2 linked regions of the Caenorhabditis elegans genome follow. The protein of the gene in region 1 purifies or fractionates together with the protein of each later gene. This does not show direct contact. Each region holds a gene or a part of one and is shown in the gene's direction. Other genes may lie near its edges.

Region 1 (4,852 bases):
TCTTCAACTTTTGGGAATTTTTCGACGGCACCGCAATTGTTTCAGATGTAATTTGAATTTCCTCCACATCGTCGTCGGATGATTTTTTCGCCCTTTTCACCGGTTCCATCACTCCCCACACGTCATCCTCCTCAATGACGTCATCATCATCTTCGTCATCCTCATTTTCAGATCGATATCCATCTTTGGTCATATTTCCGTATTCCGTTTCATCCTCATTAATCTCCTTTTTCGATGCAGGCTTTTTGTCGTTCAAAATTGATAAATTATCACGGAGTAGGACACGATTCAGGCGCGTTTTGCAGTAAATCTGAAAAAATTGAGGGTTTCTTGGTTTTCAGAGATTTTTTTTGTAAATTTTCACGAAAAAAAACAGTGCCGCACAGAAATAGAGACAGAGCATGATTTCGCAATTTTGCAGCACGGGTTTTTCTCTGATTTTCACTGTTTTTTGTAGATTTTTCAATAAAGTTTCAATTTTAATTGTTTCGTTATCTTCTTTTTTTTGATTTGTGCAAAATTCACGGATTGATTGCTTAATTGAAATCAAAACTCCACGTAAAACGTGATGAAGTTCGCGAAAATCTTCTTTTTCAGCCGAAAATTGTCATTTCTCGAACCTTATGAATCAGCTTCCTCGATTGCAAATCGTGTACTCTCAAAAATCGATCAATTCCAACGGAAGCAGCCAGCGGCAGTGTTGGATGAGCTGTGATGCTCCGGATAGATCCGGCTTGTCCCTTGAACTTGCACATCGGATGAACTTTACTGCGCAAATCGAAAAGTCCCATTTCTCCGATGGAATTTGCGGCGAGTATTTGATTGGTTTTGTATGTGAGCGAGGTACACATTATCGGATTTTCCATAAATGGGATCTTCTTGACGGGTCGGCGTTGAGCGCGTGGATCGTAGAGGCGCATCTGAAAAGAAAAATCGTTTTTAAAATTATTAATTTTAGTAGAAAAGCACCTCGTGAAGCTTTGTGGCCTCGAGAATCGTGTTCTGTCCTGGAATAAATCTTGCATCTGTAATCATGATAGGAATTTCCAATCCGAGCATATCGGGCGGCACATTCTTAGCGCTCCACGTCTGCTGGCCGGTCTCCAAATTCCACGTTTTCAGAAGATTCTTCATACCGCCCGTGACGATTTCTGGCTTCTCGGTGGATCCCCGCATGACGGCAACTCCTGGACCGGTCTTCCACTCGGACAAGATTTCAGATTTGTCATTCCAGATTTGCAGTTCGCCGCTTTCAACGCAAGTGACGATTTTTTCACTGAAATATTTAATTTTGAGATTTGAAACCACGGTTTTTGTATGATTACTCTGCTTTATGCAGGCCTTTGATTGGTCCAGTGCCTCCGGTAACTGTTAATATCGATACAAGTTCGTTTTCTTCAATGCCAAGTAGCTGCAGATCCCGATTTACTCGAGCGATCAGGATTTCAGTCTGAAATTCAACTTTTAAAATAATTTATCGACCATAACTAACCTGTTGCTCGTCATTCCAGATCATCGAGGTAATCTCATCGCTTTTCGGGTCAAGGGACTTGATTTCATTGAGATTTTGGAAGGTATTCTCCTTCAAAATTGCTCCTTTCAGAGCGCCAGTGGTTGCTCCCACGTAGCAGTCCATTTTACCTGAAAAATTGATGAAATAAGTCGAAAATAATTATTTCTTCGAGAAATTAAGCGCAGATTAAGGTTAAATTGGGAAATAACTCTATTTTAGCGAGAACAAAAGTAAAATTACAAGAAAAAATGCGAATAAAAATGAGAAATGCAAGTGCGCTCTGCCGAACAAGCGGCAGATTTGAATGCGATTTCTGCAATTTTATCATTTTTTCCATTATTGAATCACTTTTGAGTACATTTAGCTTATTTTCAATTGTTAACCTATTCTCTAAAAGAACAATTGTAAGTATTTTATTTTCTGAAAACAATTGTTCTATTTTTCATTCTTTAAAACCCCTAAAATATCTGATTTTCTTTTAATCAATATTTCTGAGGACAGCAAATCACATTTTTGGAGTTTATACAAAACACTTGAATGTTATTTTCTTATCAATAAGCACATTTTCTATCAAACCCAGTTCACTTTCAAATTTTTCAATCACTTTTTTCTGAACTTTTAAGCATTTTTGTCGACAGTGAGAAATATCGCCGACCGTACTCCGAGGCATGTGCGCTCCACCGAACGGGGGGCAATTTCAAATACACCCCGCGAGACCCACCAAGAGGGCGGCAATTTCCAGTGTTCACCATCGTTTGCCATTTGCTCTCTGCTCCCAAAAATCATCATTTTTTTGGTTTCATCGCTTCGCAGTTTCCGTTTAATATTTTGTCTCCATTTTCCCCACTTTCAATGTAATTTATTTCAGTATTTTCAGCATTCAAAATGATGCTGCGAAGCCAGGCCAAGAATGTCGACCTGACTTCACAAGGTGAGCGGATTTCCTCGAAAACTATTTATAGATTTTAAATTTTAATTTACAGCAGATTCTCGGCATCAACAAAAACGAAAGCAGGCTGAGCAATTGGATGCTCTAAAGAATCCATCGGAACCGGCAGCCAAGAAGCAACACAGCAAGGTAGAACGAGGATTATCGATTTTTTGGGCCTTCTCAAATTAATTGTTTCAGGGTCTCACCGAGCTCCGCGCACACATCTCTGGATTTAAAATCGACTCGGCAAAGCGAGATCCACTGGGAAAGTCGAGAACGAGTAGACGAGACGTCGAGAACCTTCCACCGCAAAAGTCCAGATATGTTGATCCGTGTCCTCATTACGATTACGACCTCGAGGAGGCCGGAAACCCGGACAGTATCTCGGACTATGCTCAAGGGATTTTTGACTACTACAGACACCGAGAAGTTCACTTTCGAGTGAGAAAGTACCTTCACAAACATCCGGAGGTTGACGTCAAGACTCGTGCTATCCTCATTGACTGGATGGTTGAGATTCAGGAGACATTTGAGCTCAACCACGAGACCCTTTACAACGCCGTTAAGCTCACGGATATGTACTTGTGCAAGACGAAGAATGTTGACAAAAACACCATTCAGGTGAGATAAAATCCAAAGTAGTCTATTATTTTTATCAATAAATTTTCAGAAGCTTGCATGTGTCGCCATCTTCATTGCCGCCAAGTACGATGAGCGATCTCCACCACTCGTCGATGATCTCATCTACCTTTCCGGAGATCGCTTCTCCCGCGATGAGCTTCTTGCCATGGAGCGTGAACTCTTCGCCACCGTCGGATATGATCTCGGCTCACCACTGAGCTATCGGTATCTTCGCCGCTTCGGTCGTGTCTGTCGTGTCGATATGAAGACACTCACCATGGGACGCTTCATTCTGGAGACATCACTGATGGTCTACGAATACGCTATGGTCTCACAATCCCGTCTTGCCGCCGCCGCTTTCGTCTTGGCCATGCGTATGCTCGACAAGAATAATGAGTACGAGTGGAATCCAGTGCTCGAGAAGTATTCTGGATTCACTGGAGAGGAGGTGATGCCACTGGTGGAGCACATGAACCACATTCTTCATTTTTCGAAGGACAAGTGGGCTCAACTCACATCCGTTCGCCAGAAGTATTCTCATGAGTGAGTTTTTGCAAAGAAATATCGATTTTTAATATTTTTTTCCAGAGTATTCTTCCATGTCGCCTCGATCCCAATGCTCCCGGATACCCTCAAGGTTGTGGATTCCCACACATATGCTCCAGTCCCAATGCTCTCATACCCATAACTAATCCTAATTTATTCCCGTATTGGATTCTGAATCCCCTCTCAACTGTTCACCCACCAAAACTTTCAAACGATTGACACCTATGCCTCTTTTGATATATTTTGTATACGTATTGCAATTCTCTTCTGTATTCCATTTAACTCCTGTCATCTCTCACAAATACACATACGCAATTTTGGCCTGATTTTGTTTTTTGCTTTTAAAAATCTGAACATATTGCAAAATTTCTACCAATTTTTAAACACATTTCGAGCTACGCCAAAATAAATTATTTTTCCGGCAAATTGTTTATTGATGGTGTGATTTCAGATTAATGACTAATGTGGAGACTTGAACTTGATCGGCGCAACTTTACAAGCGGTTTTTGTCCTTACAGTGCTGACAACGATAACTGCGGAGCCTGTAGAAAAGATTTTACGCCAAATTTCAGAGTTGAAAACGAGGGTTATTATTCTGAAATTTGAAATTTTCACAATCTTCATTGAATTTCTCACCCATCGAAGCAATGAACTGCTGCCCATAGAATTGAAGAAAATATGAATGTGAATTTTTTGTCAGGCAGCAGTCGAGGTCCCCATGTGAAACAGCAAACAATTATTAGTACAAACAAAGTTTGGCTCAAGGACTGAAAGTTTCATTTTTATGCAATTTGCGATGATAGTTTATTATGGGGCCGCAGAAAAACGCTCCATTTGAAATCAACGTGGAAACGCGCTCCACGGGCAATTGAAAATGCTCCGCCCCCAACAGCTGGGTCTCGTTAGGTATTTGGCGGCAAAACCGTGAATTCAAACGTTTTCAATTAAATATCTTTTTTTGTTATTTCAAATATTTTTACGTCGAAATTGAACAAGATGAACAGTTTTTTAAAAAAATTATCAATTTCGATTCAAAAATCAATAAAAATGACGGAAAAACGTTCGAATTTACAGGTTTCGCCGCTAAATACCTAACGAGACCCATTTTTTTGCATTTCCGTAATAACAATACCTGCTTCAGCCAGTTCAGCTCAATCGAATTTTTAACCGACTTCGTCCTCAATTTTGCCACCTTCCAAATGGCAGAAAAATTCAAAAATGCACTAGTGATTGTTAGTGTG
Region 2 (3,798 bases), on another chromosome or scaffold:
TATTGGCACGCGGCCAACCTGGGGTCAACTCAATAAGCAATAAGGTGTAGTGTACAAAGGGTGGAAAAGCTGCACAGGCCATGTAGTTCCAAAAACTAGGAACTGTGATTACAAAGTCTGACAACTGAATCTGATTTAACACTCCATGGACAGATGTCACCTCCGCGGTTTGCAAGCAATTCATTTTCGTTTGGTGAGCAGATATCACAATCAACACGACACATAAAACACCCACATTACACAACACCAGCGGAGGTGCACTTGTTCATTGCCCGATGTTTTTCGAATGATGTATAAAAAGCGGGATGATTAAACTGGAACTGCTTTTATTATGAAATTGTATATAAATGCAATTATTCCTTGGTAGAAATCTTGTATCCGAGAATAGCCTCCTCTCCGCAGGCAGCAACGACTTGAACCTGAAAATCAAAATTTTCAGATTCAAAAGGTGGATGTCGAAATAATTACCAAGACGCTTCCTTCGTCTTTCTCGAGAGCCTCACGGATAGTGTTTCCCAAGTCTCCTTCTGGCATTTTGAGATCGTCTTTGAGCTCGCAAGATTCTGGATCCATGAGCGAGCAGAACCCGTCTTCGATCGACATGAGCTGAAAATTTGATCAATAACATTTTTTACAGCTGATTAACTCATTTTTCAAAAGATTTGTTTAACCGTCCAAAGTTGATTTTTTTGAAAGCCTTCTTAAAAACTAATTAACAACTTACAATGTACTCGCGTCTCTTGACGACTGGGACGTCCATGTTGTGGGTGGATGGGCAGATATCCTCAAGCTTCTTGGTGGTGAAAATATCGATGGCAACCATGTGAACCTTAGCATGTCCGTGCTTTCCAGTCTTGGAGGTGCTCATCTCGACGATCTAAAAAATTTCTAATTAGGAAAATTCACTGAATTATTTTTTACCTTGCATGGTCTTCCTCGGATCATGACGTGCTCGTTCTTGCGAAGAGCCGAGCATTGCTTCGGGAAAGTAGCAGCAGCTCCGGACTCGGCAGAGTCGAATTGCTCCTCGTCGTGATGATCTTCGGACATACTGCAACAAAGATTTATCAATTATTTTAGCATTTTCAACTAGTTTCCAACGAGAAATTCAAAAAATAAATTTGGAAAAAAAGGTTTGCAGGAAAAAATTGTTTTGATTGAGAAATTTGATGCATTTCTAATAAAATATTGATCTTAGCAAGAAAAACACTGTACAAACCTGAGAAAAGTATAGAAATCGAGAGAAAATCAAATGCGCGAATTTTTTTGAAAGGACGTTGTTTGGCTGCGTATCACAATGAAGAATGAGTCGCTACGCAGCCAAAAATTTGGCGCCAACTTCCATCTTCAGACAGAATCGAAGTCCTCACTTTTTTAGGATTTCAAGGAATCTGCTCTATTTTTTGATTTATCTGAATAAATAATTTCCTAAAAATGCATTCGTTGCTTACTTGCCAAATTTCGCTTTCATCATGTAAAATTAAATAATAAAAATTACCTCTCTATGGTCTTCGGGGCAGCAACTCTCGCCATCCACCCTCCGAAGCCAAGATTACGATTTTTCTTTGAAACTCTGTTTAGTTTTGTTGGAAGCCTCATAAAGTAGAACAAATCAAGTTTATGATTATTTTGAGTAGTTATTTTTATATTTTCCGGCCTGTATTTATTCTCTTTTCTGCACAGTTTTGCGTTAAATTTTATCATATGAATGCAATGTTTCACAACAATCCTTCTCAGCGCGTACTCTCCTTTTCGGAATAAATTGTCATCAAAGGTGCATGCCTTTTCACTAAGCAATGGTCTCGCACCGACTGTCCCCCCTTTTCGGCGGCAGTGGAAATGATTCAAAATTACACGCTTACGCCTTTTCTATCGTTGTATTACAATTGTTCTGACAAAATTCATTTCCAATTTTAGTTATGGATCCTATTCGCGAAGGAGAAGTGGCCCACGAGGGAGATTCGGTTTACACACTCAACGATTTCACGAAGCTCGAAAAAATCGGCGAAGGAACATACGGAGTCGTCTACAAAGGCAAAAACAGAAGAACCAATGCCATGGTTGCTATGAAGAAAATCAGATTGGAAAGTGAAGATGAGGTATTTGAATTTTGTAGCAGTTTCGTTTTTTCAAACAATAATTCTTATAGGGTGTTCCATCAACGGCTGTGCGAGAGATCAGCTTGCTCAAAGAGCTCCAGCATCCGAATGTTGTTGGATTGGAAGCGGTCATTATGCAGGAGAACCGGCTTTTCCTGATCTTCGAATTCCTGTCTTTCGACTTGAAACGATACATGGATCAGTTGGGAAAAGATGAATACCTTCCGCTCGAAACTCTTAAAAGTTACACATTCCAAGTGAGGAAATATTTAAAATCGATGTCTTTACAAGAATAATTGTTCCAGATTCTTCAAGCTATGTGTTTTTGTCATCAGCGTCGTGTTATTCATCGCGATCTTAAGCCACAGAACTTGCTGGTCGACAACAATGGAGCAATCAAGCTTGCCGATTTCGGACTTGCCAGAGCTATTGGTATCCCGATTCGCGTTTACACGCATGAAGTGAGTTTGCATTCATTCTGTACACCAATACAATGATTGTCCGGTTTTCAGGTTGTCACTCTCTGGTATAGAGCTCCAGAAATTCTGATGGGTGCTCAGAGATACTCGATGGGCGTAGACATGTGGTCGATTGGATGCATTTTTGCTGAAATGGCCACGAAGAAGCCACTGTTTCAAGGAGATTCAGAAATTGATGAGCTGTTCCGCATCTTCAGAGTTCTCGGCACACCGACTGAGTTGGAATGGAATGGTGTTGAATCACTTCCGGACTACAAGGCGACGTTCCCAAAATGGCGTGAGAATTTCCTCCGTGACAAGTTCTACGACAAGAAGACTGGAAAGCACCTTTTGGACGATACTGCATTCTCTCTTCTTGAAGTAAGATTTCTAAAATAGTACTTTAACAAGTAAAATAATATTTTCAGGGTTTGCTGATCTACGATCCATCACTTCGTCTCAACGCGAAAAAAGCTCTCGTTCATCCTTATTTTGACAACATGGATACGTCAAAGCTGCCAGCTGGAAATTACCGAGGAGAACTCGAACTCTTTTGATGTAATTCATTCATCATCATTTTTATTATTTATTCTCCCGTGCTTTAACCACCTATCGTCTTCCGTGTATTGTTTAACTATCACCATTTCAACTTTTTACCTGTACGATGATTATTTGGCCCTTCGATATTCATGAGTAATCTCTTTTTTCACACCGCGATAAATAAATTCGCTCTACTTTCATGCTCTTTTTTATTCAAGCACTTTGTTCAACGTGTAAATGAGAATAGGGAATTAAGAATTCATTATTATTATTTTTCCATTCTGAAGAATGATCGCTGCAGTGATTCCAATATTCGTAATTTCTCTGTCTAACATTTCGCACGTAAGCTAAGGTAACGAAAACTAATCTAACTGGAGCTATTAAGATTATTCTTGCAATTTTCTTCTTCCCATCGATTGTAGAATTCCTCGATGATCTTTACTGGGGATTCACTTATCGTTCGTGGTCTCCAATTGCACGTCAATTAGAATTGGGACCGGTAGGATATATCCCTATATATAGGATTAAATACAATTTAGAGAATAAATCAAAATAATTGTGTTTAGAACATTTACATTCATCACTCGAAGGTTTCTATTTTGATGGACAAAGCTGATCTTTATGAGAAGAATCAGTCTAGGAAAGATATTTTAAACTATTACCGGGAAGGTATTGTTTAATATTTATTCATTCTCTCGAAT

The links.
Region 2: the proteins of cyb-3 (region 1) and cdk-1 purify together in Caenorhabditis elegans (affinity purification with western blotting, with the first as the bait; one study listed by BioGRID). This does not show direct contact.

Annotation. Positions count from the first base shown.
Region 1 is NC_003283.11:15,393,315-15,398,166, forward strand, and holds cyb-3 (G2/mitotic-specific cyclin-B3), read left to right. Parts: upstream 1-2,381; 5' UTR 2,382-2,398; coding exon 2,399-2,444; intron 2,445-2,496; coding exon 2,497-2,591; intron 2,592-2,642; coding exon 2,643-3,065; intron 3,066-3,114; coding exon 3,115-3,608; intron 3,609-3,653; coding exon 3,654-3,753; 3' UTR 3,754-4,034; downstream 4,035-4,852. Other genes in the region: T06E6.1 (WD repeat-containing protein 74), read right to left, coding at 1-310, 621-920, 970-1,276, 1,326-1,450, 1,493-1,636; fbxa-199 (G-protein coupled receptors family 1 profile domain-containing protein), read right to left, coding at 4,071-4,206, 4,248-4,378, 4,744-4,852. UniProt on the Caenorhabditis elegans protein: Could be involved at the G2/M (mitosis) transition. Interacts with the CDK1 and CDK2 protein kinases. G2/M cyclins accumulate steadily during G2 and are abruptly destroyed at mitosis. Plays a role during oocyte meiosis II.
Region 2 is NC_003281.10:9,745,555-9,749,352, forward strand, and holds cdk-1 (Cyclin-dependent kinase 1), read left to right. Parts: upstream 1-1,917; 5' UTR 1,918-1,919; coding exon 1,920-2,099; intron 2,100-2,149; coding exon 2,150-2,356; intron 2,357-2,404; coding exon 2,405-2,560; intron 2,561-2,611; coding exon 2,612-2,938; intron 2,939-2,985; coding exon 2,986-3,114; 3' UTR 3,115-3,298; downstream 3,299-3,798. Other genes in the region: iff-1 (Eukaryotic translation initiation factor 5A-1), read right to left, coding at 354-419, 469-606, 725-877, 922-1,051, 1,499-1,599; T05G5.4 (uncharacterized protein), read left to right, coding at 3,386-3,439, 3,483-3,596, 3,664-3,766. UniProt on the Caenorhabditis elegans protein: Plays a key role in the control of the eukaryotic cell cycle. Required for entry into S-phase and mitosis. Acts as a component of the kinase complex that phosphorylates the repetitive C-terminus of RNA polymerase II.